Oryctolagus cuniculus: one gene and its partners. The protein of the gene in region 7 interacts with the protein of the main gene of each other region in a pairwise test. Links are inferred from orthologs where the notes say so. Each region holds a gene or a part of one and is shown on either strand. Other genes may lie near its edges. The genes, in order: DUSP21, CCDC198, SNX7, ING3, ZNF414, EFHC1 and TEX11.

The links.
Region 1: the proteins of TEX11 (region 7) and DUSP21 interact in binary tests that used the Homo sapiens proteins (3 or more experiments, as listed by UniProt). The two-hybrid records come from large-scale screens. The link is inferred for Oryctolagus cuniculus from reciprocal best matches to the Homo sapiens genes TEX11 and DUSP21.
Region 2: the proteins of TEX11 (region 7) and CCDC198 interact in binary tests that used the Homo sapiens proteins (3 or more experiments, as listed by UniProt). The two-hybrid records come from large-scale screens. The link is inferred for Oryctolagus cuniculus from reciprocal best matches to the Homo sapiens genes TEX11 and CCDC198.
Region 3: the proteins of TEX11 (region 7) and SNX7 interact in binary tests that used the Homo sapiens proteins (3 or more experiments, as listed by UniProt). The two-hybrid records come from large-scale screens. The link is inferred for Oryctolagus cuniculus from reciprocal best matches to the Homo sapiens genes TEX11 and SNX7.
Region 4: the proteins of TEX11 (region 7) and ING3 interact in a two-hybrid assay, tested with the Homo sapiens proteins (2 studies listed by BioGRID). The two-hybrid records come from large-scale screens. The link is inferred for Oryctolagus cuniculus from reciprocal best matches to the Homo sapiens genes TEX11 and ING3.
Region 5: the proteins of TEX11 (region 7) and ZNF414 interact in binary tests that used the Homo sapiens proteins (3 or more experiments, as listed by UniProt). The two-hybrid records come from large-scale screens. The link is inferred for Oryctolagus cuniculus from reciprocal best matches to the Homo sapiens genes TEX11 and ZNF414.
Region 6: the proteins of TEX11 (region 7) and EFHC1 interact in binary tests that used the Homo sapiens proteins (3 or more experiments, as listed by UniProt). The two-hybrid records come from large-scale screens. The link is inferred for Oryctolagus cuniculus from reciprocal best matches to the Homo sapiens genes TEX11 and EFHC1.

Annotation. Positions count from the first base shown.
Region 1 is NC_091453.1:30,605,406-30,608,658, reverse strand, and holds DUSP21 (dual specificity protein phosphatase 21), read right to left. Parts: upstream 1,487-3,253; 5' UTR 1,340-1,486; coding exon 767-1,339; 3' UTR 660-766; downstream 1-659. UniProt on the Homo sapiens protein: Protein phosphatase component of the sperm flagellar doublet microtubules. May act as a regulator of sperm motility by mediating dephosphorylation of sperm doublet microtubule proteins.
Region 2 is NC_091443.1:19,295,237-19,299,955, reverse strand, and holds the start of CCDC198 (factor associated with metabolism and energy), read right to left. Parts: upstream 3,354-4,719; 5' UTR 3,165-3,353; coding exon 2,942-3,164; intron 336-2,941; coding exon 253-335; exon of another isoform or gene 248-252; coding exon of another isoform or gene 206-247; intron 1-205. UniProt on the Homo sapiens protein: May be involved in tuning the metabolism, energy expenditure, and excretion processes.
Region 3 is NC_091438.1:71,768,904-71,773,097, forward strand, and holds part of SNX7 (sorting nexin-7), read right to left. Parts: intron 2,243-4,194; coding exon 2,043-2,242; intron 1-2,042. UniProt on the Homo sapiens protein: Involved in the regulation of endocytosis and in several stages of intracellular trafficking. Together with SNX4, involved in autophagosome assembly by regulating trafficking and recycling of phospholipid scramblase ATG9A.
Region 4 is NC_091434.1:156,936,435-156,941,083, reverse strand, and holds the start of ING3 (inhibitor of growth protein 3), read right to left. Parts: upstream 3,238-4,649; 5' UTR 3,039-3,237; coding exon 3,011-3,038; intron 2,762-3,010; coding exon 2,690-2,761; exon of another isoform or gene 1,967-2,689; intron 353-1,966; coding exon 252-352; intron 1-251. UniProt on the Homo sapiens protein: Component of the NuA4 histone acetyltransferase (HAT) complex which is involved in transcriptional activation of select genes principally by acetylation of nucleosomal histones H4 and H2A.
Region 5 is NW_027208201.1:4,535,059-4,539,682, forward strand, and holds ZNF414 (zinc finger protein 414), read right to left. Parts: upstream 3,361-4,624; 5' UTR 3,121-3,360; coding exon 3,109-3,120; intron 2,792-3,108; coding exon 2,509-2,791; intron 2,268-2,508; coding exon 2,160-2,267; intron 2,070-2,159; coding exon 1,964-2,069; intron 1,622-1,963; coding exon 1,278-1,621; intron 1,195-1,277; coding exon 1,144-1,194; intron 705-1,143; coding exon 534-704; intron 433-533; coding exon 359-432; 3' UTR 274-358; downstream 1-273. UniProt on the Homo sapiens protein: May be involved in transcriptional regulation.
Region 6 is NC_091436.1:117,479,883-117,484,746, forward strand, and holds the end of EFHC1 (EF-hand domain-containing protein 1), read right to left. Parts: intron 2,253-4,864; coding exon 2,042-2,252; intron 1,078-2,041; coding exon 1,006-1,077; 3' UTR 835-1,005; downstream 1-834. UniProt on the Homo sapiens protein: Microtubule inner protein (MIP) part of the dynein-decorated doublet microtubules (DMTs) in cilia axoneme, which is required for motile cilia beating.
Region 7 is NC_091453.1:50,428,663-50,432,201, forward strand, and holds the end of TEX11 (testis-expressed protein 11), read right to left. Parts: intron 3,071-3,539; coding exon 2,906-3,070; intron 969-2,905; coding exon 897-968; 3' UTR 733-896; downstream 1-732. UniProt on the Homo sapiens protein: Regulator of crossing-over during meiosis. Involved in initiation and/or maintenance of chromosome synapsis and formation of crossovers.

The DNA of each region.
Region 1 (3,253 bases), about 20 Mb from region 7:
CAGATCACAATGGAGGAGGTTTCAGAGGTGACAGGGCCGAGTCATGGCTGCCAACTACAACCTTGCAAGCCAAGGCCCAGGAGAGGAACCCCTGAGGCCTGATGTCAGACCTGGTCTCTCAGCGCAGGCCCTGGGAGAGGGGCTAAGGCCCCTTTTCACAAAGACTGGTGGGGGATTGCCAAGAGCACCTTGAGACCTTACCATACAGCATAGCACTCAAGACATGTTTTTAAACTTTATAGCATAGAGTGGTTTCTTCAAAAACTAGTATATAAGTCCAATCTAGAAGACCAGAGTTGGGCCACTGTGGTTGATGGCAGCAGCTCCCAGCGTACTCCTTGAAAGGTCACTAATCCACTAGGTTAGCACTTACTGCAAAGAAGTGCAAAAGGAACCAGGATGTCTAAGGCTCTGACTTTGCCTCAGAAAGAACCGGGGTGAGTTTCTGCGGGACTCAATCCTGGGTTAATCAGCCTCAGGCAGGGCTCAGAATTCCTGACGCTTTTAGAGCTGCTAACAGGTCTGGGGTGGGGGGTTGGGGGGGGCGGGGAGGCACTCAAGTCAGGACAGGGCAGGATCAATTCCAGCCAGGTCCCAACAGCCCGACCTGCCCTTCCCAAATGAAGACATATGTCACAAACTTATACATAGTGATTTTTATTCTTTAAAGATAAGACTGGCATATTTAAAATTCCAACCCCCCTCTGTCTTTTGTTGCCCATCAATAGGCATTGTTGGCCAGGGACATCCGGGTGGGCTGAGTAGCTCACATCTGCATCATCGACTGGACTTCTTTGTGGTAGATGTCAGGAATCACACCCACTGGCGAGCTGATCATTTTTACTGTGTTCCTGCTGAACAGTTTGAATTCATAATGGATCAGCTGTTCCCAAAAGCCGTTGTTGGGCCGGATGATGGGGCGACGCGTCTTGGTCCAGGCGTGGGCATCCAGCAGGGTCATGGCGTGGTATTTCATGAGGTACGCAAGGCAGAAGGTGGCTGATCGACTCACTCCCGCAACACAATGTAGCAGCGTTCGGCCCTGCTTCATGTCCTCGCTGTGGATGTGAGCAGCAATAATATCGAAAAAGTTATAGATGTGTGAGTTGGGAGTATCGGTCACAGGTACCTGCAAGTATTGGATGTTGTCGTAGAATGTATTCACCACCTCCACTGAAGCGTTGATGACCGTGGTGATGTGATTGCTAGACAGAAGGAATTTGTTATTGGCGGCCACCCCACTGCTGATGTAAAGGCTGCGGGTTATCTGGGAGTGGCTGTGGATGAAGGGCTGCCCCGCAGGCGAAGACGAAAACCAGCTTCGGGAGGCTGTCATCATGGCGGCAGATCTGAGGTCTCTGCTCACGTTCGGGACACCACCCTCGCGAGTGAGTTCCGGAAAGCAGTCTCCAGCATGGGCTTGGGAGAGAAAGGACTGGTCACAGATCACCACTCCCTGCCTCTCTGCTCCTCTACCCTCGCTGACGACAGAATTCCGTTAATCTGATGCTCTGGTTTCCACGGCGATGGCCACTTCCGGCTGGGAGGACACTATCACGTGCTCATCAGAAACCGTTCCCCCACTCCCTTCCCCATCTCTTTTCTTCTCATCTTTCTTCATAGTTGTTTATTTTCCAAGGCCTAATTCTGGTCTTTTTTGATTTTATAAAGTATTCTGTGACTACACACCTAATTTTAAACTTCTGTTGTTTGACTACACTGAATACAGTATCTGCAAGTGCATCCATTTCATTAGCGTTGAGGAACAGGGTCTAGGTTTCTAAACTGAGGCTCAACATTTGGTTCACACGATGTGCTAATCTGTGCAACTGTAGCAACATGCGAGGCTGGGTGAGCTGGTCTGATACTTCTTTATTGACTGTAACGGTAGACTTAGGCTCCTGCTTACAAACACAGGAGGGATGGTTGTTAATTGTTACACAACCCTTTATCTAATGTGAAGTTGGCTTGTGGTGGGCAGTGGTGACTGATTTAGCTGTGGCACACCCCATTTATACATAGATCCAAAATGATGTTATCACTTGATTCTACTTTATGACCTTGAACCGAGAACTCAAATTATCTTGTCTACTTTCTTCAAAAAGAATGCCCACATACTCTGTAAACTGCCAGGCACTCTGACCACCACCAAAACCTGTCTTCTTAGTAATATTAAACATTTTGGGAACAAGTTCACACTCCATTGTAACTGGGCCAAACACTGATTTTTTTTTTAATGCTGTTTCCTATTTGTGTTTCCTTGTAGTTAAGTTTCATAAAGGTTGACTAAAAATTGAAAATCACCATAACCTAAAACTAACAGTCAGCCAAGAGACTCATATATATATACTGCCTTTTCACTCCACTGTCATTTTGGCTTGTGTGCAAAGGTATGTTGTAATTATGAGCAAAGATAAATAGATGTCGCCCGTTTATGACGGTCAAAGACATGATAACTTCAAGACACAGCACCTTTTCTTGTTCTCAATTGTCACAATCAAATTACTTTTGCATTACTTACATTATCAGTCCCCACAAATCTATCTGAAAGAAAACAGAACACAAATACAGAATAAACATAAAAGCTGCCTGTTGAGGACAGCTCAATTGGGCTAAAGTTATTTTAAAGGGTTCAGGTGTGAGATGTGACATTAGGAGGAGCCTTGTAATCTACAGAGTAATGTAGAGGCCCTAAAAAGAGTAGTAGAGGCTAGTTAGTTCATAAACATACACCTCTTCACTTTAAAAATGTTGTAAACTTAACCTGAATAATTTAAGACACGATTCTCAAAGACAAGCTGTCTTACTAAAATTCCACTGTGGGGCATTCCCTGGGTGGATGAGGAGTTGTTGTTTCCTCCCCCTGAGTCTGGAAACAGGTCAGTTTTAGACTCCCACTTGTCTCTGCTTTTCCTGTAAAGAAAATGTATAAGGGACTTTGCCCAAAATGCACTCTCTATCCATCACTTGGAAAAGACCTTGGATGTTAAGAATCAAGTAGTCAAGGCCCTTTCCAACCTGACCTAAACATGCCTTTCAAAATCTCATTCACTCATTTATTTATTAGACATTTATTAAGCCTCTTTTGTGTGCCAGGCATTTTCACTGATACAAATCCTTAGTTCGGACTACACAGATCAAATGCTCTTGGTCGATGGCAAACGTACACCCCTATTTCCTTACATTTACTCATGAGAAACCGCATTCCTCTCTGCTTCCTGAATCCTATCCAGGCTTCAGGACTCAGCTCCAT
Region 2 (4,719 bases), on a different chromosome or scaffold from region 7:
CAGATAATTACCCAGCTAATCAATGCAAAATTTGGGTCCCTTGAGTCCACCACATCTGTGTCTTTGCTATTGTACTTGGGTGTTGATCTTAAAAGTGAAATTGTTACGGAAAGAAATCCTAAGGTATTTCCTATAACATTCTGTTTAACAGCATGATCATTATCAAGATCTCTCTTTTATGATTATAGTTAAAAAAGGATGTTACCATTAAATCCAAGCATTTCCTTATGAAGCCTTTTAAATTCATCTTACTTGAGGTCTTCGGGGTGGATGCCTTTTAATAATACTTGTTTCTCCCTGTTCCAGTGGGATGTCAAAATACATGGCCTGGGACACTTGAGAGATTGGAAGAGAAACAAGAATATATAATTAAAACCCATTTACCGCTAAATCAGGCAAAGTGATCATGAACTGATACCACAATTTTGTACCTTTTCTATTATATTTTCCAACCTACATCTTGAATGTGGAGGAAAACACACAAAGCAAGGGCCCTACTTGAATACAAATCATTAAAACTTAGTCTTGCCCAAAGACTTGATTTCTGATTCCTTATTTCTGCCTCTGGTTTAATTTAGAGGGATATCAGAAAAATTAAAATATTTTCACTACAAATGCTGTTCAAATATACAATTTGGCCTGGAAAATAGAAACATATTGATTTGCTTTAATTCCAGGAAATCTTCCCCCACCCCACATGCACACAAATAAGAAACCAGACAAAATATAGCTTTAACAAAGGAAACTAATTGTCTTTTCAGATTAGATAGATGGCAGATAGGTAGTTGGAAAGGTGATTATATAGGTGGAGAGATGATAAAGAAATGGAGCAGGAATGTCTAACAAGAGTGTGCAATGTTGGCATTGCTTGAGGATAATCAAATAATGCCCCCAGCCCCCAACCAGGGAAAGAGATGCCCAGAAGTTACCACAAAATACGACATATCAGTATTCTTTTCTGATGCAGCAAGCCAGGGCTACAGAGTTAAGCCTCTGCTCAGAAACAGAGAGACTTAACAGATCCACTTTATTTTTTAGCTTGATTATCCTGGGCTCTTGCATTTGCTACCATGACCAATGCTAAATGGATGGAATTTTTGTCTTCCCTTCTTAACCGTCTGCATGCACACTGATTTCTAGATTGTTGCATAGACTCTCCTACAGTCCTAGCTTCTTAGTTTTAAAAAAGTTATCTGAAAGAGAGAGAGAGAGAGAGAGGAGAGTGCTTTCACATGCAGATTCACTCCCTAAATACCCACAAGGACTGGGACTGGAGCTGGAAGCTGGCAACACAGTCAAGGTCTTCTAGGTGGGTGGCAAGAAGCTAATTACTTGGCAGCACCACTGCTTCCTAAGGTCTGTATTAGCAGGAAGCTGGAGTCAAGAGCAGGAGCTGGGAACTGACCTCAGGTACTCCAATATGGAATGCGGATGTCTTAACTGCTTCCTGTTTTGTGAAAGTATGTGTCTCTCCTTATGACATTTGAAGGACTGCTTTCAGGATTTTGTTCTTTCTGATTCTTAGTAGAATGGAAATTGTGCCCTTACTTCCTTTCAAAAGGATGCTGACACATGGAGCAGGGCAGAAACAGCAGCAACAAAATATGGGATTTTAAAGAGCAGATATTCTTTGAAATTTATTTTCAGCAGTTTGACTACTCCTGACTTTCCTACGATGGTGTGAGCGATATCACCCCATTGTTCAATTTGATTGTCCTTAAATGGCACAGGCTGTGTCAGCCAATTATTCTGATTCCTAATTATAGAAGAAGAAAATTGATGCAGTATCTTGATCAAGGTCATACAATTGGCATTTGGTGAAGCTGGAGTTAGGCTATGGACTCCTTGAAAATAATGTTCAGAATGCTTACCTATTCCTTGTATGATGAAAAAATTTTTTTTTAATTTCAAAAATAAACACATTTTTCCCAGTAGCAACTAGAAAGCACTAGAATCTGTTTTCACCACTGAGCTGGCAGAATCTTAAAACTCCAGATAGGGGATTTTGTATCAAAAAAGGAATTCTTCACTGAAACTAAGAGGGAAATTCTCCCTCATGTATCTAAGACATTGGTGAACATAAAGGACACGGAGACCGGACCACACAGAGCCTGAGTGTCAGCTGGATTGAAAACAGCCATGCAAATCGCTCTGAGCAAGTTCTGCAAGGTTGCAAAAGAGAATATACGATTTTCTGACCAAGTCATCTGGTAAGGAGCGTTATACTTGTTTTACTGATCCAGAATATGAATAAATGTATACATTCATGTGCATTATAAGTACATGTTGAGCTTTCCAAATTAAAATGTCTATTTCATTCATTGCAGTCATCAGAAAACATCTTACGTCTCTTATAAAATATTTCAAGGTAGTTTATAGCCCTGTTGGGCTGAGAGCTTCCAGTCATAATGGGACAAGTTCTCTTAGTTCTGTGGATGACCATCAAGAGTCTGGGTTAGAGAAGGGGGGACTGATCCACTCATATGGAATGGATCCATGCTATTTGTAGTGGCTTTAAAATTCCCATCAGAGTGGATTCACTCGTGAAGTGCTACCTTCAAAACCACAAACCCAACTGTGCCAGAGACAAGGATTTAAATTTCAACTGTAGCGGAAACATGTGATTACTATCATTTATCACATCAGGATCATATAATTTTAATCTCTGCCAAGGCTAGGTGTAGACACTGAAAGCACTATAAACTGAAACAAAATGAGTTTTTCTTCTCTTAGGCAGTGGTGAAAGGATCTCCCCAGCTTCTATTTCTACTCCAAGGCACCCAGAATACTTTAACTTGACCATAGTCAATCCCCTTGAAAGATCCCTTGCAGATCAGCGACTTAGTAGCATTATGTAGTAGTAGATTATGGAGACAGGTAAATCTATCAACAGCTCTCCTTGATCCATACACACGAAACTCCTGCTGCATTGGAGACTCACCTGTAGAATATCTTCCGTACCAGGTTTCTCGTAGAGGTGGCAGTGGTCCTTCCAAAGCTTTGTTCTGGTCCTGCAGTCTTGGCAATGAACATGAGCTCTTTTCTTCCAGGTTCTGTTTGATTGCGAAGTCCACAGGGCCTGCCGGGGCAGTCTCTTCCTCTTTGTTTCGCAAAGGTGCTACTTTGATCACCCTAGGGTGAGACTTAGAGTGCCTCAGACCCATTTCATGTGAAAGACATTCAAGGGTAAACCACAAGGGAAGTGGTTTAGGTTCTTTTAATGCAGCTTATTTTCATCAAGGTATTTCAGAAGTGTACTTGGCTTTAAGAACCAGTCATTTCCTCATGGCCTCTTTCTAGCTCTGTTTCACCACACACTAACCCCTCTGGCCACTGCCTGGGAGGTGGTTTCCATGGAGACTTCCCTTCAACTCCCACTTTGTCATTTCAGAGCCAAAGAATCCAGTTAAATATTGACTTGCTTATATTACTTTCTGAAGAACTCAGTGATAGGAAGAGAAACACCACTGATCATTTAACAAATATCTAACACAGAAAGGCCATGAACAGAGATGTAAAGCAAAGATGTATGGAGGTCTTTTTGTTTTTTTAACTTATTTTGAAAGTCAGAGTACAGAGAGGGAGGGAGAGACAGAGAAAGCCTCCATCTGCTGGTTTACTCCCCAGATGGCCAGGAGTTGAGCCAGGAGCTTCTCTCAGGGCTCCCACGTGGGTGCCAGTGGCCCAAAAACTTGGGCCATCTCTCACTAATATTCCCAGGCCATCATCAGGGAGCTGGATGAGAAGTAGAACATCCAGAACACGAGTTGGCGCCCATATGGGATGCCAGCATCGCAGGCAGCTGCTTTACCCACTTGGCCACAACACTGGCCCTCTGTGGGGATGGGGTAGGGGTGTCTTAAACCTGACCCTTTACTGCAGGTATCTTGGTAAGAACTAACAACTGAGAAGACCAAGTCACCTTTAGGAACAGAGGGATGCATGCTAATCATTGAAGGCTTTGTTAATCTTTAATTTTAGTGAAAGAATTTATCTTCCAAAAAGGACAGGAAATGGCAGAGTGATTAAATCTTCACTTGATTTTTTTTTTCCTGCCAATGACTTATCTTTGAAGGGAGTGAATTTGTGTATATTACAGGAAGTAGAAAGTCAATAGGATTTTTTCCTTTGGGGACAAGGGGACAAACTTTTTGAATAAATGGCCCAAATGAACCTAGAATTGTTACTGGTGAATGACAGGGTTCTTGTCTTCACGCAAGAAAGAATTCAGGCGTGAAACAGAGTAGTGGAAAATAAAGTAGCAAAGTTTATTAGGGAAGGGACATCTGTAAGAACTGATGGGCACCTCTCCAGACAGAACCTGAGAGAGAGCGCCCAGTTACTTGGACTGGGAGGAGGAGCGAGGTTACATGGTTGAGTGGAGAGAGTACACCTGGGCAGGCCAGGCAGGCAGCTCAGCAGAGAGGCAGAGGGCTGAGCGTACCTTCTGGTTGAGGCCGGGGGTTTTTAAGGAGATGGGTCTTTGTCTTCACACATCTCCTCCTGAAACAAAGGATTTTATGGATGTAAATATTAAGAAGTTCCTATCTGAGTTTTCCCCTAAAGGTATCAGAGAGGAGGAAGCAGAGTATTTGAAATGCAGATACTGGGCTGCATCTGGAGGACTGTGGAAGATTGTCAGGCAGAAGGGGCGGGGACCCCCACCTGGCAGGTTATCGGGTAGAAGGGGGCAGGGCAGGATGCGAATACTGGGCTGCC
Region 3 (4,194 bases), on a different chromosome or scaffold from region 7:
CATAAGGGCGCCGATTCAAATCTCGGCAGCTCCACTTCTGATCGAGCTCTCTGCTGTGGCCTGGGAAACAAGTAAAAGATGGCCCAAGTCCTTAGGCCTCTGCACCCGGGTGGGAGGCCCAGAAGAAGCCCTCGGCTCCTGGCTTCATATCGGCTCAGCTCTGGCCATTATGGCCAACTAGAGAGTGAACCATTGGATGAAAAGACCTCTCTCTCTCTCTCTCTTTCTCCGTGCCTCTCCTTCTCTCTGTGTGTAACTCTGACTTTCAAATAAATAAATAAATCTTTTTTTTTTAAAAAAAAGCATGAAAAGAATCCTGAAAACTACCCACGCTAGTTTCGCATCTGGTAAAATCATTCTTAAAACACTGAAAAGAGATTACATTACTCCTAGTTTCAGAGAACTCAATAGAAAGTCAACTAATTATCACAAATTATTTTATATTTACTTCAAAATTTGGGGGCCCTAATACCAAGAAATCCCTTTCTTTCCCTAATCCAAATAACTAATCCTAGAATTTTGTCCCATTTACTGAAGGTTTATTTCCATAAATTTGAAGCACTAAGGTTCATATGCATATATGTATTTTTTGAGTAAGAGGTTGCTTCAGAAAACAACCAATGAAAATCACAGATTTAATCATTCTTATCGAGGTATTACTTTTCATATTTTAGCTCAGATTGAAGAAAACAAAGCTAATACAAAACACAAGAACTACAATATAAAAACCATTGCTTATATCCTAGAAGTCAAAAAATAATTAGATCAAATGAATATCTATACAATTATTCTTCCTGATCGCTATGATAGCTTTCCATAGGTTTAACAACAAGATTGAAATTGCATAACTTTGATCTTGACATCATATAGAAGAAATAATTAATATAATAAATAAGGAAAGACAATGTATAAACCAGTTCTTTTTGAAAACCACAGAAGAGGGTGATCAATAATGAATAAAACCATGGGATGTAGCCAAGAAAACTGATGGAGAGAAGCCAACTCTTGTGCAGTGAAACGTTAGAAGCCTTGCAGAAGCAATTAGGGTTTATCATAGGAGGCTCCAATAAAGTCAAGTTAAAGCAGAAGCCTGAAATGTCCTTGTGATATTTAATGACTCTGTCAAAGGAAACCTACATATGCCTAATGCGAGAGACAGAGACAGAGATCGATCTTAGGCATCAAGGCTCACACAGCTTTCCTTACCAAGAAAAGTTTAAAAAGTTAAAAAACAAACAAACAAACAAAAAAAAAACCCACAACCTAGAAATCAAGGGCTCAGGACAACAGAGACCAGACATGCCTCCAGTTACTGAAAGGATAAGGGCTGTATGTGAATGCAAGCTTGTTCCTTCCTTTACTGTCACCCTAAAACACCAGAGACTTAAGGGTGCTAATTTGGCTGTGCAAAGTACTGCTTGCCCAGGATAATACTGGAAGAAAAACATCAAGTTACAGATATTAGTACTAAACCCCAAATACCTGGAAACATTGACTTGAACTAAGGAGGTAAATGCAAAGTTTTCATATAAAAGGAATAAAAGCCTTTTCAAACAGTGAAAGAAAAAACATTTGAAGTATTTCTGTTCAGAAGCAACCACAAAGCAGAAAAAACATCAAAATCCTACACAAGTACTTTTCACAGAATGGTACTAAATATATTGCTAAATCAAATGTAACTAAAAAGAAGAAAGCAAGTCCTTTATGAAAAAGAAATTTTTAAGATGATTAAAAAAATAAATAGAATTTTAAAGATTAGAAAAGCTAACCATATTCCTAGGTAAATCCTGATTGAGGATGCTTCAAATCTGTATATACTTTAACAAACCCTTGGTGCTGCTATTGAGCAATTCTATTTTGATTGTCTTCTCTAATTGATGTATTCACTCTCACCATGAACAAATATTTATTGAGCATCTATATGCAAAGCATCTTGTTAGAACAAGAAGACAATAATGCGGAAACAGAATCAGAAATTGCGTGTGGAGCACTTATAAGCAGGGAAGAGACTCAAGTAAAATGATAATTATGAGTGTTCTTACCATTAAGATTTCACTATAGAGCACGTACTCATGTACTGCAGGAAGCAGGGCCTCTGAAAGTCCAGACATCCGTTTTTCAGTGGCCTTACAGCATTGGTCGATGCAGCTGGCCACACCTTTTAGAGTGTCAACCAAATCTTCTTCTGACGCTGACCACAGAACATGAATGGGGCCATATTCTTTCATTTCATCAAAATACTCTAAAACAAAATAATGGCTTAAGTCCTTCAATTTGGAAAGGTTTTCAGAATCCCAATGGCATGGACAGTAACAAATGACCTTGTTTCTCTCACTATGCACATATTTTTACATGTGAACCTAAGAAAATGAGATCATCTTTTATCCTAGTGATTGACCATTCCAGTCTGCCCAGATCAACCTTCAAATGAATGACTACTGTCAATAACAGCATCCCTTTTCTGTACTTGGAAGACAAATGATAACCATATCAGTCATGGACTTCTCTGCCTACCACATAATCATACCTGGGTGTCTCATAGGCAATATGCCCTAAACAAAACTTTGCTTCTTTATCCCTTTCTTCTTATTGCATATGTCACTATACAGAAATCCAAGAAAAACATTGGGGATGGGGTCATTCTAGACTAATAGTTGCACTCAGCCAATCAATCAAGTCTAATATTTCTAGATCTCTATTTATCGTCTATGGACTACTTGCCTACCTATTTTGACTTCTACTGCCATCAGCATCTCTAATTTGCACTACTTCTAACTAGTCTCAATCTCTCCATTTTTGTCACAATGTTTAAACAATGTAGCTTCTTATTAATTAGAAAGTCTTTTATGATCAGTCTTCTACCTGCCTCTCTAGGTCAAACTCTTGAGATTCTCTGCTAAATATATTTTGACTTAAGCCAAAATAACTATTCATTCATGAATAACTCATGATTTTTCCTCACTCAAACATTTGCATGTATCCCTCTGACCCTGTAGCACTTCCATCACCCAACAATCCACTTCTAATCCTTTAGATATCAGTTCAAATAAACCTCCCCAATGTTGTTTCAAAAGATTCTTTTTTTAAAATATTTTATTTATTTATTTGAGAGGTACAGCCACAGAGAGTGAGAGGGAGAGACAGAGAAAAAGGTCTTCAATTCGTTGGTTCACTCCCCAAATGGTGTAATGGCCAGAGCTGGGCAGATCCGAAGTCAGGAGCCAGGAGCCTCTTCCAGGTCTCCCACTTGGGTGCAGGGACTCAAGCGCTTGAGCCATCTTCCACTGCTTTCCCAGGCCACAGCAGAGAGCTGGATTGGAAAAGGAGCAGCCGGGGCTAGAACCAGCGCCCATATGGGATGCCAGTCCCATAGGTGGAAGATTAAGCCACTGTGTGTGCCACAGTGCCAGCCCCTCAAAAGATTCTTGGTCTTTACTCAGTGAGCCTATTGAACTTTACACCTTTATTAAAGCATTATCCCATTCTATAGTAATTGCTCGCAAAACTCACATACTCCTAGGCCATATGCTCCTTAAAACAAGGACTGAGTCTTATTATTTTTGTATCTCAAAGGTTGATATATAATGTATTGAATAAATATTTTCATATCAATGAAAGAATGAATGAATAAGTAACCAAAGTATTCAATGCTTGATAAGTCACGTACTCAAAAATTTGGAATTCATTTTAAAACGTGAATATTTTTACATTTTTACATTCACACTATCAACTTTTAGAGATATATAGCATTTCAGGGTAAAGAATTTATAAGCGGTGAGCAATTTTGTCCAATATCCATATATATCATTATCTATATTTAAACATCTTACTACTCACTAGAATTTGTGAAATCTGTCATATTGCTCTAAATTAAGTCATTAAAACTTTAAAAAGTTCTCAGCATGCTCAAACAGCTGAAAAGTTTTTTAAAATAAAATTTTAAAGCAATGGAAATGTTAGTTGTTACCTGATGAAATTTTAGGTTGAATGACCCTTCCTAATTCCTCCCTCCAGAGTCTAGGCCTTTTTCATGAAATAATGACCATATGAAACTAGTATTTTTTGAAAAAGAAAATTATTCATACTATCATGGATAGTTTGGGCAGATTTCATTGTGGTATTTATCTATTTTTACAAAACAGAGAATCCCTAAAATTCTAAACTAGGCTTAGAGACACTCAAATCACATTTGGA
Region 4 (4,649 bases), on a different chromosome or scaffold from region 7:
TAATAGAGAACTATTCTCTAATAGTCATTGATTATTGAAATCATTTTGTAAATTAACAAAATGTTACTTTATTGATTAAAAATCCCTATACCTGAAACTCTAAAGTACATAAATAATTTATTTAAATTCTAAAGAGCCACTGATAACTAACTATTCCTCATTCTGATATCAGGAAAACTCTTCAGTTTTGAGGTACCTTTTTCAGAGGGTCCTGGTATTTGTTAATGAATAATTTGAAGTGTTACACATACCTTTTTGATGGATGCCATTTGTTCTTCTCTCCACTCCGGCTTATTTTTCTTTGCATTCATAAAGAATTCACTGACTCTTTGTTCTAGTTGATCCATTGCATCTACAACATAATAAAAACATTCCCTATTTAGAAAACCACCATCATACATCAAATAGGCATGCTTTGTTTAGAGGAAAGAAAACAAATCTGACAATAAACACTGTTCCACTTGACCAATAACTTGAGTATGTTATGCTTCAGTTACATAAATACATAATGCTCACTTAACTTAATCTTTAAAAGTTACACATTTCCCTACTACTTATTTATGTTGTTTTTTAATTTTTTCCAATAATTAAACTAGGATTAACAAAGTGGATCAGAGCTAAACCACAGTTTTTGAAGAGTACAGCCTCAGGGGGTTGGGACACAGTCAATGGCTAGCGGTATTTAATCAACTGAATGTGCCCAACCACAGTTACTCACAGAGACCACCACTAAAATATCCTCACATGGCTTTTCATAAGAAAATCAGTAAAAAGTTTTTAACAACTGGCTCAATGGCACTAAGCATTCCATCATTTCATATCAAAGCTGAAAGCAGTAAGTACAACCATTTAGCACTTCATACACGATATTATTTATTCTAAGTAAGTTTTTCCTGAAGTATATGCCTAGAATAATGAATAGTTTTTCCCAAAAAGAGGAAAAATAAAAAGATTTCCATTGCTAATTAGGTTGAGGAAAATCTCTGTACTATACTCATCTTTTGGAGATTGCCAGTGCATAATCAGCTTTTTAAAGATTGAGAAGTCCCATGGTTAATTTATAAAAAAGTATTTTCCTTTGGGGTGCTGTGACATAGTAGAGTAAGCCTCTCCCTGCAGCACTGGCATCCCATATGGGCACCGGTTCCTGTTCTGGCTGCTCCTCTTCTGGTCCAGTTCCCTGCTAATGATCTGCGTGGGAGACCTGGAAGAAGTTCCCAGCTCCTGGCTTCAGATCTGCTCAGCTCCGGCCGTTGAGGCCATTTGGCGAGTGAACAAATGGACGGAAGACTTCTTTGTGTTTCTCCCTCTCTGTCTGTAACTCTTTTAAATAAATAAATAAATAAAATTTTTAAAAAAGTATTTTCCTTTAAGCATTCCCTAACTTACGTGACATATGGTCATTTTTGTTAATTCATAATACCTATTAACTTTAAAGAATTCTACTTATTGTTAAAAAAATGCTAGTTTAAAAAAACTTGTAGTTTGTACAAGCTAAGTTCAAATTAAGAGAATTTAAAATGTGTAACTGCAATGAAAATGTTTATAACAGAGCCACCCTTTCTTTAACACCTACTTTGTATCAGATATCATACATTCTAACTTATCTGTATTATTTTTAATTCTCATTGGATTCTCTTATTACAGTCAATGGAAACTTCTCAAAAGTGGTAATGCAGTCGATCGAGGTCAATGAGTCTACTGATAAAGCTATAAAATAAACGCAGATCTGCCCGACATCGAAGTCCACACTCCGTCCTACACAGAACTCTACTCAGCGTGTCACTGGCCTTTCACTACACTGCAGTTCAAACGCATGTTGTCAGCCAGCTGCAGAATCGTGCTTCTCACTTCCTGCCACGCTACAATCTAACCAACAGAAAAAAAGGTGGCTTTTGTGCCACATTCCCACTTGTTACGTGCTACATAAAACTGTGCAGAAGCTGAGAAAAGCAGAATCATGAACCTTTGGGTAGAGAATCCTAGGTGGTCACCAAGTAGACACACGGAGTGGATTGCGAAAGAAAGGTTCTTCAGCCACCTCGGGTAGTCTCTGGGCCACCTACTTAAGAGTCCTTGTCTGAGAAAAAGTCACCAGACTCGCAAGCCGTCACTGGAGGACAGGGAAGCCCGCTGCCAATTATTACCACTGACCAGCCTGGCAGCAACATCTTATCTCCCGCTCATTCTGCCTGGAAAAGAGGATCGAGCCCACAACTCCAAGCTTATCCTATAACGTGTGATGACACTCCAGGTTTGCCGGGATCTCTGAGGATCTACTCCTAAGCCGGGCTCTTGGACGTTTCGGAATGAACTCGAACAGAAGTACAAACAGATGCTGAAATCCAAGTTCGATCCATAAAGGCGCTGGTCAAAATCTCAGCATTTACGGGATCATCGCTAACCCACACCCGGTATTACCCTCATGAGGATATAAAACATTTTTTTTTTTTTGCACAGTCCCATTTCGAGGAAGCAATACATATACTCTAATGCCTTCTTATTTCGTCACAGGAAAAAAAATAATAATAAATGGAGCGTGGGAAGAAAAAAAAAAAAACCAGGCGCGATTTGGCCCTGCCAGCTCTTCTCCACAACTTAGGTGCCCGCGGAGCGCCGCGCAGGAGCGGCGGCAAGCAAGCCCGGCTCGGAACGCGCGCGGCGGACGCGGGCAAACGTGCCGACTTACTCTGCACCTGCAGATCCATCTCGCGCATCTCCGTGAAGCGGTCCCGCAGGTCCATTGGAAGCTGCTCAATCACTGTCAAACAAGAGTCCGTCAGAAGGGCGGGGCCCACAGCGAGCGTACGCGCCTGCGTCACTGCGTGCGTGCGTGCGTGCGTCGGGGGGGGTCGAGGGAGCGGGCAGCCCACAACGAGGCTGCCAGTTACCGTGAGAGAGAAACATCCCCCGCCTCCCCCTCCCTCCCGCCATCCCGCCTGCCCGTCCACTCGCGCTCTCGCCCGACCGCAGGTCCCACGGGCGGCCCCCGCCGGCGCCGCGCACTCACTTTCCAGATAGTCCTCTAGGTACAACATCGCGGCCCTTAGAGCTGGGGGAGCGAAGGGGTCCAGGGGTTTATTTGTGTCACTCGCTGTCGCCGGAGTTTTGTCCCTTCCAATATGGCGCCTCCGCTAGCAGCACCCGCTCGACTCCGGCGAAAAAAAAAAAAAACAAAAAAAAAAAAACCACTTTGGGCGCCTGACGGCGCTTGCCTCATTGCCGCCCGGCGCTGTCATTGGCTGGCTGCCGCAGTGACGTAGGCCGGCCAGGGCCTGCCCGAGCGCCTTTGTGGGAAGTGTAGTTTCTGTTCCTTCTGAGGCAGGGCGGCCGTGCCGCCCGTTCTGTGAGGGAAAACTACGGACACCAGGCGCCATTGCGAGCGGTGCGCGGAGGGCTCCGAAATGCGGTGCCTCTGTTTATTTGTTGATTTTGGCACAGGGGATGACGGGACTTGTATGCGCCGGCATCAGACAACTAGGAACAACTTTTCACCTGTTCTTTGCTGCGGTTCCATGCCCGGCGTTTGTGAGTCATGGGTTTCGCCTGGTGCTGGGCACACAAGCAGAGGTTCTAAACGCTAGCGTGATCAGCGAAGTTCGGGCGATTCCCATTGTTGCAGACAGAATTCGGTGCTTCAGTGTTGACCGCCGAAAATATAAGGGGGGAGGGAGGGACGTCTGCTTGACTCCATGTAGCCTTCAAATAGTTTATCAAACTGTGGCGTGTATGTGCACTCCCCGGATGAAAGGTGCTGGAATAGTCATCAGCGCCAGTTTAGACGAGAGTGGTTTGTTTCTTGTTTTTTTTTTTTTGTTGTTGTTTTTTTTTGTTTTTTCGGTCCAGCTCATCGTCATTGTCATCCTCATGTAATCTGTACATACAACCTATACCTGCAGCAACAACCAAAAAAAAAAAAAAAAAAAAAAAAAAAACCCTGAGCAGTCATAAGTAGCGGGTGGAGCCTTGATGTCTAATGAGCTGAACCAGCAATTTAGATTATGTTGAGTAAGTAGCATGTGTTAGAAGTCCTGGGCGTTGTCTTCCCCTACTTTTGGATTTCTCCCTGCCAATATTGACCGGTGATATATGTTAAGTGTGCATTGCTGAATTTATTTTAAAATGTTTTTCCTCAGGAGACTCTTACTCTAAGTGTTAGGTGGTGGTGTTTCCCATCTTTCTTAACTCTCTCCGTTTTTCAGGGAACAGTGTCGTCAGTGTGAGTGTTCTCCGTAGCCGCTCCTCTGCTCAGGGCTTTTCCACTGGTCTTAAGCAGGATGCTTGACTGTCCTGTTGATACGTCTCAATGGAAACTTACCTGGTCCTATTAAGAATTAACGTAGTTAATTTTACACACTTGAAGCTAAAATCTAGCACCTTCACTCTTCCTCCTTTCCACTTTCCCTCCCTTCCCTGCCCCTCTTTTCCATTTTCCCTCCTTCTGACTACTTTGAAAGATCTGCTTGATATTTTTGCAGATTCACTGGAATCTTCCTCTTCTCCCCCCTCCCACCCTACCTCTCTTCTTTCTTTCTACTTCCTCTCTTTCTTCAGCTTTAAAAAGCATGCTTTAGGATTTAAGGGAATTCCTGAAAGTCAGGATTGGTGTCCTGTAACAGTTCCAGGGAATTCTGAACGATTAGCTCTTC
Region 5 (4,624 bases), on a different chromosome or scaffold from region 7:
GTGGGGAACTTCACTGCTTTGCCAAATGCCGGTTCCCCACTCCCAACAACTTGAGAATTCGACCCCACCCAGGGATAGGGTGGCAGTGCACTGGAGACCTGGGTCCCAGGTCCCAGGACAGAGGCGACAGGGAACATGCGACATGGCTTGGCTGAGGGACAGGCCCTGTTTCTGTGCGACCGGCGTGAGCTGATGGGGGGGGGGGAGCTCTTGGGCTGCTGGGCTTTGGCCCCGTGTGCACTAGAGGGCAAGGGACCCAGACACAGCACAGGCTGGCTTATCGCGCCTCTTTTATTGTCCCCCACCTCAAATCACAAAACTCTTCAACTCCGCCGCCCGCCCCCCATCTCAGCCCGGATCAAAGAGGCGAGAAGACTGGCAGCTCCCCCTCTGACAGCAGCGGCGACGCACTGGGTGCAAGCGGGGCCGGGTCTGGGGTGGGGGGGAAAGGGGAGAAGGAAGCGCGTGAGCCTCGGCTTCGCCTCACCCCTGTGCCCCCCGCCCTCTGCAGCGGCGCTGTCCCCTGGCCTTACCCGCTGAGGCGTCGGGGCGCGGCCCGGACGCCTGGGCCGCGGGGGCGCCAGGGCGGTGGTCCTCCAGGTGCAGGGTCATGGCAGACCGCGAGGCCGTGGAGAAGGCGCACTGCATGCATGAGTAGCGGCCGCGCGTGTGCTCCCACACGATGCGGCCCGGAGCCGCGTGCCCTGCGGGCAGGCAGGCGGGACCCTATCAGTCCCGCGACCCTAGCCCGGGGGCGGCGGACGCGGGCGGCGGCTTGGACTTTTCCTCGCTTCCCCATCAGCTCCCGTGCGCAGGCGGCCAGGCCTAGCTGGATCCGTTTCTCCCGCCCGTCATCACCGCCGTAAACTCGGCTTATCCGCGGCCCCTGCGCCCACGAACCCTCGCAGGTGGGGAAAGGAGCGCTCCACGGTGATTGGGCGGGCGCGAGTTTCACACGGGAACGCCGGCGCAGAGGAAGGCGCAGGTGCCAGTGGTTTTTAAGGCAAAATCCTGTATTTCGGGGTGGCATTTTTTAGCCACCTGGGAACGGGACGGGCACAGATGCCTGCCAGTTTGCACTGCCCCTGCAGGGCGCAGGAAGGAAAGCCCCGCCAACCCTCCCTGGTGGTCACCTGCACGCACCTGAGGGCGCATCGGAGCCGCCCTGGGGTCTTCGGGGGCTGCCGCCAGCACCTGCGATAAAGGGGCGGGTCAGGTCCAGTCAGGGGGAGTCCAGCCCGCCGCTCCCTGCAGGAGGCCGCGCCCCCGACACTCACCTTGGCTCTTTTTCCAGACGGCAGCGCTGGAGGCCGGTGGCCCGGGCGCCGCAGCCAGGAAGGGGCGCAGGCGTGGGGGGCTTAGGCCGAAGGGCGCGGGGTTCAAGTAGGGTAGGAAAGGCCCGCTGGGGGCCGGGGCGGGGGTCGTGAAGGGCTCGAGCAGCGGGAACTGCAGGCCCGGCGCCGACGCGGGGTCAGGCTCCTGGGGCCGCTCAGGCGCTGGGGGCTCCTTGTCCAGGGCCGGGGGCGGCGGCGGGGCGGGGCTCTGCGCATGCTCTGCGCAGACATGCAGGTGCTTGAAGAGCGAGCGGTGCGTGCGGAAGCGCAGGAGGCAGTTTTCGCACCTGCGGTGATAAGGTGCGTGTGTGCCACCCTGTGCCACCCGGGGACTCGCTCTGGGAGCGTGCGAAGGGCCCCCACTTGCAGGCGCCGGGCTTCGCCAAGCACCTCCCGCCCACGACAGCCGCGACCCCTCCAGACTTGGAGCCCTGGCAACACGCGGAAGGAGGTCTCAATTTTAAGTTAGGGGGTGCGTTTTCCAACCACGCATGCTCCGCCCTTTCTCTCTCATGGGCAGCTCAGACGGGCGGGACTCGCCCGAGGCCACGCCCATCTCCTCCACCTTGGCACTAAGCGGGGAGGGCGAGGGGCCTGGCCCTCGACCCCGGGCTGGGTGAGGCTCTCACTTGAAGTAGCGGTTGGGCTTGTAGTGCAGCTTGCTGTGCGCCACCAGCTCCTGCATGCTGGGGAAGCTCTCGGTGCAGCTCGGGGCAGAGCAGCGGAAGAGCTTGCCTGGAGGGACGGAGGGCAGAGGGGTGGCTGAGGCTGGCCCCCCGGAGGGGTGGGCCCTGCCGGCCTCCTGAGCACCTACCCTGGCCCTACCTTCCAAGGACTGTGGGGGGGGGCAGTGCGTACGAAGATGCTGTGCCAGGTCCCGAACGCTGGGGAAACTGAGGCAGCAGCCAGGGCTCGAGCAGGGTATCTGCTTCCCTGCAGGATGACAGGACTGGGTGGTCAGCGGTCCCTTTCCCAGGGACACCACCAGCCACCCCACCGCCCCGCCCCTCCACCATACTGGGCCGCCAGAGGGTACACGGCCTGGCTGGTGCTTGGTCCATGGGCAAAAGCATCCCTCGGGCAGACCAGCTGGACCCCAACGTCCCACGTCTGCATTCCTCACTCCAGTGGTTCCCAGGCCCGTGGCTTCCCAGAAGGCCCCATCACAGGTCACCTGGTGCTGGGCGTCGTCTGGGAGGCCGCAGCTCCTCACTGGTCCCCGGGGCTGTGCCGGCTGGACCAGGGCTGGGTCCAGGCTCTGAGGCTGGGGAGGCACCCTGCTGTGTCCCTGCGGGCCACACTGGGGGCGTAGCTGCCCGGTCGGGGCCCGGCGCCTCCTCCATGGAGGTGGAGGCAGTGGCTGCCACCACCGGGGCCAACACCTCCTTGTCGGTGTCACTGGAGCTGGGCTCTGCAGTGGCCGGTATGTCCGGGCCGGGCCCCGACGGTTCCTCCTCCTGGTGGAAGGAAGAGGGGGAGGGAGCTCCTGTGCGCCCCAGGGAACCTGTCCCACGAGGCCCGGACATTTCTGGAACCCCCTTCCCCACCTAGAAGTCACCCTGGCACCCCCATTCTAAGGAGGCACCTACAAGACAGGGTGGGGGTAATTGTGCCCATGAGACACATCCCCAATTCCTAAGGCAGGGAAAGGGCGTGGCCCAGGAGGGGGTGGGGCCGCGGCTTTGAAGGCGGGGTTCTGGACTGGACAACCCTAGGCAAGATGCTGGAGAGGCCAGAAGCGGATTGTTTGAGGATGGAGACAGGCCCCGCCAACCTCGGGCTGCATAGACGGACGTGGAGCAGCTGAGGGCCCGGATATGCCTAGTAGAGGGGCGGAGCCCGAGCCCTGTGGGCGTGGCCGTGTCGAAACCAGGCCCGGAAGTAGGGGTAGGGCGATTGCCGAGTGACAGCCAGCTGCGGGCTGGTGCCCGGATGTGGGGGCGGGGTCGGTCGGAGGGTGTGTGCTTGGCAGGGACGCTCCCTGTCGGTTCCCGCTGCTCCGCCGCGCCCGCGCCCCCGGCGCCGCGCTCACCATCCTCAACCTGGCTCGGCCTCTCGTTTTCGCGGTTCCGGCGGCTCGGGCTGAGGAGGCAGCGACTTCCTCGGCGCTGCGGCCTCGAGCTCACGTCGGCGCCATTTTCCGAATCCCAGCTCTCGCGAGAGCGGGGGAGCGGAGCCTGCGCGAGGCGCCCCGCGAGGGGCGGGGCCTGAGATGGGCTCACCCTGGGCAGCCGCGAGGTCGCCGCTGTGGGCGAGCGCGGTTGGCGCCTTGCGGAGAACCGGCGATCGGGATGAGGGGGTCCCTCCTGGTCTCCGTGTCGTCGGCGCAAAATGGACATCCTTTCGGGCCCGTCCCGCCACCCACCCTCCAAAGGCGGCAAAGTGCGGTTCTCCTGGATTGAGCCACCTCCTTGCGGGGAAATTGGCAATTGGAAGGGGTCCGCTGAGCTGGTGGCTTAAGTGCCCGTCTTCAGGCTAGTCTTGGTCCAGGTGCCGAGGTCCCGGAGGTGAGGCCCCTAGGGGGCCGCTGCAGGGATCTGATCACCAGACCCACGGAGGCACTTGCTGCTCTGGTAGATAAAGCCCTATTGGCCAGTACTGTCCAGAGGGATTCGTGTAGAGGAATTCCAGGTCCAGGCGGGGAGACTCCAGGTCCCCAGCTCCCCGTGACCGCCCCCCCCCCGACTTGCTGAATCCCACTTGGCCACCCTGAGAATTCCCGAAGGAGCGCGACCTCGCTGACCACTCAAAAGGTCACCAGCGCCACTGCCCCAGGGTGCGAGGTGCACGGACCGAGCTGAGCACGCACCTGTCAGCCCCATTTCAGTCTACCAGAACCTTCATCCCAGCTCCTCCGGGAGCCCTCGAATTAAGCAAGAGCTGCCCGGCTCCTTGCTCTGCACTTTGCAAATAAATCCCCAATGTCCATGGTTGGGTTTCTGAGCGTTGGGTGAACGGACCCAGGTTTGGGGGTTCTTACAGCAACACCCACTATTTTCGGAATTCTGAAACAGGGACAGATTTGTCTTTGCCAAGGAACAGTGGGGGGGCGAGCGCACTGCAGGTGCATGGCCAGGGCGGGGTGCAGAGGTCCGGAAGTGGCCTCGGTGCAGAATGGGTCATCAGGGCCAGGTGAGCAGTGGAGACAGAGGGTGTGGTTTGTGTTATTGAAACCACTGATGAATTTTTAGCAGGAGGAGGCTTACCATCGGCTCTGTGGGGGTCATTTGAAGGAGAGGCCCTCTGGGAGAGATGGGACAGTACAGCTTAGATCTCTGTAACACGTTATT
Region 6 (4,864 bases), on a different chromosome or scaffold from region 7:
AAAAAAAAACCCTAATATGTGTACCACATTGATATTATCTATTATATCCTTTAAAAATACAGGAGTACTAATTGGGCCTAGAACGACAGTTTAAAAACATGTGGACATGAAAAACATTTCCCTTCAATACTGGGGCAGGGAGGTGGAGGGGGGACATTGGCTAGCAGCAATAGCAATACTATGCTTATTTCTGATATCCAAATGCTTCCAGAAAATCTGTCATTCCTCCTGCTGTTAATCATTCCACATCTATGCTAAGGGTTCTCCAAAGAAAAAGTAGGAGGGGTGTTTGTGTGTGTGTGTGGGTGGGTGGGTGTTGAGTATACAAGTCTTTAAAATATTCATGGAAAATATGCCATTACTTGTAAATTTCATTAACTTTCTGAAATACCCTCATGTGTATTTGAGGAGGACAGACATTGATTGACTATAAGGAACTGCTTCACACAGTAATGGTGGCTGATAAGTCCCAAGATCTGCAGGCTAAGCTGGCAAACCTCAGGAGAACTGAGGGCGTGGTTCAAGTCCAAATGCCAGCAGGCTCTGGATCCAGGAAAATTCAATGCTTTACTTTAGTGTAAAGGCAGGAAAAGGCCATGGCACAGCTTGAGGGCAGTCTGATGGGAGGAATTCTCTCTTGCTTAAGGGAGGGTCAGTAGGTCTTCAAGTGACTGGATGAGGTCTACCCACACTAGGGAGAGCAGGCTGCTCACTTCAGCTTGACCCAATGTTCATCTCATCTGGAACACCTTCACAGAAACCCATGGCCCAGTCAAGTTGACATATAAAATTAACCATCACAATACCTCTACCACTCCAAGTAAGGGACAAGTCTTAGATCATAAAAGGTCTAATTTAATTTAGACTTCAGTAGTAGTAGTGAAATATAAGAACCAAAACAGAAATATAACTTCAGGGGCTCTGGACATGCCTCTGTGGAGAGTACAAGATCTATTTCAAAGTGTTAGTCCAACATCAAAAAGTTGTATTCTCTCATTGGCCAGATCAGTTTGAGAAAGCACGCACAAAATTATAGTAGTTAATCTTGCCTTCTCCATGAGAGCAAATCCGGATTAACTGCAAAAGAGAGCAGAAAAAACAGGTAAAAACCAATATGAGGGCTTCCTTCAGCTTACCTGCAGTGTACTTAGGCATGACAAACCCTACCTTGGTAAACCAGTTCCGAGTTTTCATATCCTCAGTTGATGCTAAAATGATCCTATGAACCTGGGAGGTAGGTTCAGGCATTACCCCAATTTTACACTAAATAAAAACAAAGCTTCAGAGAATACGCCTATCCAAGATTTTGGGACCAACATCCAGTATTTATGAGGGCAATGTCATTTTTAAAATCTTTTTTGTTTTTATATTCAAATTCAAGTCTTTGTCCACCCAGCCTATGAGGAGTGAGATTACTGAAATGCCAGGCTTCTTTAATCACAGGCAAATAAAAGAGTCTAGTAATGTCACTGCTAAAACCATGTCCCTAAAGCCTAACTGGGCCTGGTAACTGACCTGTTGCGGTTATCTTTATATGACATATGAGGATCCACCCCACCCACCCCTTCCCGGTATCACTTCCCAGTGACTGCCATTCATCCCTTGCCTCTCGCTTCCCGTGTCAGAAAGTATGAATGACTTGAAAATCAAAAGCTTACCATGCTGTCAATCTAAGATCTGGGCAGCTAAATGGGTACTTGGCCCACATGAACAAATACTTGTCTCAACTTGACTGTGAGTCCCCTTGGCATCTGCCCCTCCAAGATCACCTCTGATGCTCTCCTTTTAGCCCTGACACGTTGATCTACCAATAACTCTCTGCTGTCTAGTTCCCGGCCCTGCCACAGCCACAGCAATTACAAAAGAATGCACCTACTAGAACCGGGGGCAGTTATCATAATCAGGATAAAACAGGAGATCTGGTCTGAGTGTCCTAAATCTTTCTGGACTACAAAGAAATACAGATGTAACTGCCTTTAGGAAAGAATGATCAGTGCGCAGCCTCTGCCACCCACCCAGAGCAGTAGTAATTCATACTGACCTCCTTAACCAGGGAGTCATCAATCGGAACATTAAAAGATTCACAGATTTTAAAGAACGTCTCTCTGTCCACATAACCTGAAGCTTCCTTGTCACAAGTCTGAAACGCTTCACGAATGTTGTCTTTGCATGAATAATCTTTCAGCTGCTTCTGGATTGCGTCTATTAATGCTTCTAGTTCCTGCACGCCTGGATCTTCTTCAGTTTGCTTGCTGTAGAGAAAGGAAGGAAATGACTCGACATGGTATTTATTCTTGACCTATCTTATCTCAGCGACTGAAGTTCTCACTTGATGAAGTCAGGGAAGCTTCTAATGACAAACAGCTTTGACGCTGAGCTGACCAATAACCAAACACTTGACGGCAGAGGCTGGCTGTTGGCTGACGTCCACGTCAGGAAAGCCTCACTGGGGGGAGTTTTGTAACGGCCTCTCTTCCTGCCATCTGTGGAATCACTGCACCACAGGAGCCAGATTTGGTATTTGCAGGAATCACATGACTGTCTCTACTGCTGTTACGGATGAAGGTTCCCTCATCTAAAACTAAATGCCCGTGAAAGAAAATATGTACATAATGATGCAGCCAGGAATCTTTCAGTTCTAACAGTCCCTCTTTAGTCCACGCTGAATTCTGTGAAAAGCTATCTATGGCAGTTAAGCGACTGCTCCGTGTGATGGAATGAGAAGCCGGGCTCAGCATTTACTGCAAAGATTAGTAACAGAGCTTTAGGCAGGGGGAGCTCTGCCAGTCCCTTCTAAACACAACCACAGGAAGTAGAAGTTCAACTTTTATTTTCTCTGAAAGTGAAGGTACAGTTACAAAATGAAAGAATTTTAGAGCTGGAGAAGACTCACTCATATTTCATCTTCATAAATCCTTTAAGAGCAAAATGGACCCTCATGGGCTCAGCCAGCACTTGTCCCCTTCCCAATCACGAAAAAACAGACTCTAAGACTCGGTGACTCTCCCTAGATCATGAGTCAAAGCCAAGACCAGAGCTCAAATCTCACTCTACTTCCAACACGCTCTTTCAAGTATGCCCAAGTATACCTCACACAGAATTTGCCTCCTTCCATCATTTCAAAACTATCAACCCACCATTGCTTTTCTGTCCTTTATTTTCTTGCATGTGCTATTTAAAATGTTGACTGTTACCAACAGCCTCTTTCATCTTATTTTTCCTTTTTTTGTTTTTAGATTTTTTTATTTATTTGAAAGGCAGAGAGAGAGAGAGATAATCTTCCACCCGCTGCAAATGGCCCAAATGGCAGCAGCGGCTGATGCTGAGCCAATCCAAAGCCAGGAGCCAGGAGCTTCTTCCTGGTCTCCCACGTGGATGCAGGGGCCCAAGCACTTGGGTCATCTTCTGCTGCTTTCTCAGGCGCATTAGCAGGGAGCTGGATTGGAAGCGGAGCAGCTGGGACTCAAACTGTTACTCATGTGGGATGCCAGCACCAAAGAGGCTATGCCACAGCCTCAGCCCCCTTATTTTTCCTATTTACGTGCTGGCAGATACTGATGGGAGAGCGTATCATTCCTTTTTATATTTATAACAACACCTGAGGCTAGGTGCTTTATAAAGAAAAGAGGTTTGTGAGGTTCAAACCTCACAGTTTGTGAGGTTCAATGGCATGTTGCTGGCATTGGCTGAGCTCTGGTGAGGACCTCATAGTGGAAGGTATCACAATGGCAGAGCCAGAAAACAATTTGCTGGTCAGGCTCACTCTACAAACTTTTTATGAGAATGAACCAGGTTCCCACAAGAACTGCATCAGTTTCTTCAGAGGACAGCACTTGCAATGACCTAATCACTTCTACTATGCCCCGCCTCTTAAAGGTTCTATTCCTCCCTTAAAGGGTCCAAGCTCCCAATACATAAACCCTTGGGGGCTATACTCAATCTTATCCAAACCACAACAGAGAGGTATAAAGTGGTATATAATCTTTCTGGAAGTAAGGAGGAAAAGCTCAGAAAACAATTTCAAATAACTTGACCTAAGGAAACAATCCTGGATTATGTGCAAGGAGACATCTATAAGAGATTTTTGAGATAGCCTGAATATCCCAAAATAGGGAATTAGTTAAATAATTGACACTACAATCAAGCAATGGGATAATAATATAGTCATCGACAGTGCTGGAGTAGAAAGCTACTTTGTCAGTGAGGAAATCAAGAGGCAAAAGTATGTGGAGTGCTACTTTTTTGTGCAAGTTAAAGTAGACTAAGATAATATATCTATAAATAAATCTAAGTAAATATATAAATAAATTTGCCTGCATTATGTAAAGAAACCTTGCTAAAATATTTAAAAAGCTATTGAGAGAGACCGTTATGGGACAGGGAGGAGGAAGTGGGGGGGGGCGGATACAGTGGGAAGAATTACTATGTTCCTCATATTGTATTTATGATATATGTAAAAATAAAAAAAATGGGCAAGCGGGCCAGCATTGTGGCACAGTGGGTTAAACCAGTGCATGCTGCACTGGCATCCCATAGGGGCGCCGTGTCCTGGCTGCTGCACTTATGATCCAGCTCCCTGCTAATGGCCTGGGAAAGCAGTGGAAGACGGCCCAACTCCTTGGGCCCCTGCACCTACATGGCAGACCTGGATGAAGTTCCTGGTTTCTGGCTTCAGTCTGCTTCAGCCCTGCCTGATGTGGCCATTTGAAGAGTGAACCAGCACATGGAATATCTCTCCCTGTGTGTCTCTCCCTCTCTCTCTTTAACCGTGCCTTCCAAATAATTTTTTTTAAATGGGCAAAAGACTTGAACAGATATTTCTTTAAAGATAGATATAAAATGGTAAACAAATAAAAAATATGAA
Region 7 (3,539 bases):
GGTCTGACAGTGCCTAACTTGAAGAAGAGAGGAAAGGGCCAGAGGAGAGGAAAGGGCCTGGCTTCTGTCCCCAGCTCTCCGAGGGGCATTTGGGATGGAGAGAGCACATTTATCATTGGGAGACAGATTTCTGCTCACATAAGAAAGGGCTCGCTCCCAGACAGCAAAAAAAAGTGGCTTGAGATATCTTGGGAGTCCCCTAGATGTGTTGTTGTTATTGTTTAAAGATTATTTATTCATCTGAAAGAGAGAGAGAGAGAGTTGACCCTCCATCTGCTGGTTCACTCTGTGGGTGCAGGGGCCCAGGCACTTGGGCCATCTGCTGCTGCTTTCCCAAGTGCATCAGCAGGGACTTGGCTCGGCAGTGGAGCAGCTGGGACTGGAAAGGGTGCTTGGGCATCCCAAGCAGCGGCTTAACCGGCTGCACCGCAACACCTGCCCCATGGATATGTTCTCAGACACATCACCGGGTTCTCCAGGATGTCACAGAGACATTTCATGGCTCAGACAACCACCGAGCTCCTTCCAGTGAAGAGTTTATGGTTATTTATTACTTTGGGGTAGTGGGCATTTGAGACTTTGGGAACACAATGCTATTTGTGTTGTACTGGGATGAACACCATGAACACCCTGCTTTGCTCACTTGGAGCATAAAGCTTTTTGCTCAAACATACGCTATTTTAATGTTTTGGAAAATTCATTTGCACCCTAGAAATGAGCTGATCACTGAGGTCAAGGTCAAAATGCTTTTATTTTCAAGAATCTCAGTTACGAACATGAAAATGACACCTGAGAGAACTGAACCAAAGACTCAAAAGTCTAGCAAAAATGCAAACATTCAACTTCGCAGTGTCGTCAAAAGGCTTGCCCGCTCGTGTGCTGTGCTGCAGTGGGTCTCACTCTCCGGTAAAAGCCGTGTCCCTCTTCTCAGACAGCGCTTGCATGAGCTCACTGCTCAGGATGTTCATCTGGGGAAGACAACACAAAACAGGTTTCTCGAAAGGAAAAGGAAATGTGGGAAAGCGTCCCAGACCTATGGCGATGGCACGAAGGCCAACCCTTCTCTTCTGAGACCGGAGGGGCCACTCTGAGGGTGAGGGGGTGCGGAGATAAAGCCCCCTCTTGAGGAAGAAGGTCCCAATACAACTAGGCCTGTTTGATAGGGCCAGGGCGATCACAAGGAAGATGGTGCTTAAAATACAACAAAGAGGGGCTGGCGCTGTGGCGTAGCAGGTAAAGCCTGCAGTGCCGGCATCCCATATGGGCGGCGGTTCGAGTCCTGGCTGCTCCATTTCCAATGCAGCCCCCTGCTAATGGCCTGAGAAAGCAATAGAAGGTGGCCCAGCCGGCGCCGCAGCTCACTAGGCTAATCTTCCACCTGTGGTGCCCGCACACGGGGTTCTAGTCCTGGTCGGGGCGCTGGATTCTGTCCCGGTTGCCCCTCTTCCAGGCCAGCTCTCTGCTGTGGCCCGGGAGTGCAGTGGAGGATGGCCCAAGTGCTTGGGCCCTGCACCCCATGGGAGACCAGGATGAGCACCTGGCTCCTGGCTTCGGATCAGCGCGATGCACCAGCCGCTGCGCGCCGGCTGTGGTGGCCATTGGAGGGTGAACCAACGGCAAAAGGAAGACCTTTCTCTCTCTCACTGTCCACTCTGCCTGTCACCCCGTGTGGGAGACCCGGAAGAAGCTCCTGGCTCCTGCCTTCGGATCGGCGCAGCTCCGACCATTGCAGCCATTTGGGGAGTGAACCAGTGGATGGAAGGCCTCTCTTTCTGCCTCTGCCTCTCTGTAACTCTTTCAAATAAATCAATAAATCTTTAAAAAAAAAGATCCTTGGTTTTTATTTGGTAACAAGGTTTTTTTCTCCACTAAATCTCTCCTGGTTAGCTAATGGCCCAGAAGCCTGCAACTGAGAAGAGTTCTGGGAGAAAACACTGGTTGGAACCAGTCACTGCTTTCAGTGAGGACACTCCTCCCCCCAAGCACTGGCATGGACAGTGCTGCTTCTCTCCAGAGCTCACTCCTGCTAGTCTTCATTTGCTGAGACTAAGGTCCCCCTTGTTCTGTATCCCTCCCGGTTCTCACTGTGGTTTCTTTTTTAAAGATTTATTTATTTGAAATGCAGAGTTACAGAGAGAGAGAGAGAAGAGAGAAGAGAGAGGAGAGAGACAGAGGCAGACACACACACACACACACACACACACACACACACAGAGAGAGAGAGAGAGAGAGAATCTTCCATCCTCTAGTTCACTTTCCAAATGGCCACAACAGCCGGGCTGGGCCAGCCTGAAGCCAGGACCCTAGAACTCTACCCAGATCTCCCATGTTGTTGCAGGGGGCCAAGCACTTGGGCCATCTTCCACTGCTTTCCCAAGCAAGCATATTAGCAGGGGGCTGGATGGGAAGTAGAGCAGCCAGGATTTGAACTGGTGCTCATATGGATGCCAGCATCACAGGCGGTGTCTTAACCTGCTGCGCCACAATGCCAGCCCCCTGGTTTTCATTCTAAGAAGTGACTGCTTATGGTTCCAAAGTGACTGCTTATGAAATTACAAAGGTACTTCCAAAAGTTTGCAGAAAATGGAATTAAGAGGTAAGTTTACTTTGGTACAAAAATTTTTGAAATCTGCATGCAAGGGGTCTTTTCCCAAAGTTTATGGAAAGTGTGTATTATGAAAAAACTATGCTTGACTTTCAAAATTTTCTTTGTGCCCCCAAAAACCTTATTTTTAATTCCATTTTCCAAAAACTTTTGGCAGTGGCCTCACATAGGGAACTACTGAGAGGAACAGGGATCAACCCTTTCCTGGCCACGGGAGGGAGGGGTCAGTCTTTCTGGAGGTCCTGCTGTAGCCTCTCTGCCCCGAGGTCATGCCAGCCACCCCAGCCTCTCCTTCTTCACCTGAACTTCATAGGTTTCCTTGAGGGAGCCCAGGTGGCAGACGAAGCGCATTGCCAGGGTACACCACTTCTCAGAATTCACGTACTTCTTCTTGCTAAACATTAATATCGCAGTGTTCCAGGACTTGGTCATCAGCCAGAGAACCTCCATTTCTGGGTAGCCTTCCTGAAATCCAAGAACAGTGGGTGTTGGGTCGTTCTTGCTGTCACAGCTCACTGCAGCGCCACCTGTGTCCCTGCCGCAGCCCGTTCCTGTTAAACAACAGGTGCTGCTGATACGCAGGGAGCCCGTGCTCCTGGAGAGCAGGAGGAGAGCGCCTGGAAGCGTTGTCAGCTGTAGAATATTCCACCGTGAGATGTCAGGAAGGGACATGTGAAGTGCTAAAGCAATAAGGCCCTCTGTGACTGAAGGAAGTTGCGGGGGGCGGGGAGACCCGGCATCGTGTATGAGGCCTCCCTTGATGCTGTCTCCAGACAGTTATGTTCCCAGTACCTGCCTCAACTGTTCAGACATTATCAAGAAATGGTTTTATTGCATCTCTTAATTTCCTTAACCAGAACCAGCGTGTGTTTGGAATAGAAAGCATATTCATCCTTAACCGTGACAATATCTTTAGCTGACAGGATTTATCAAG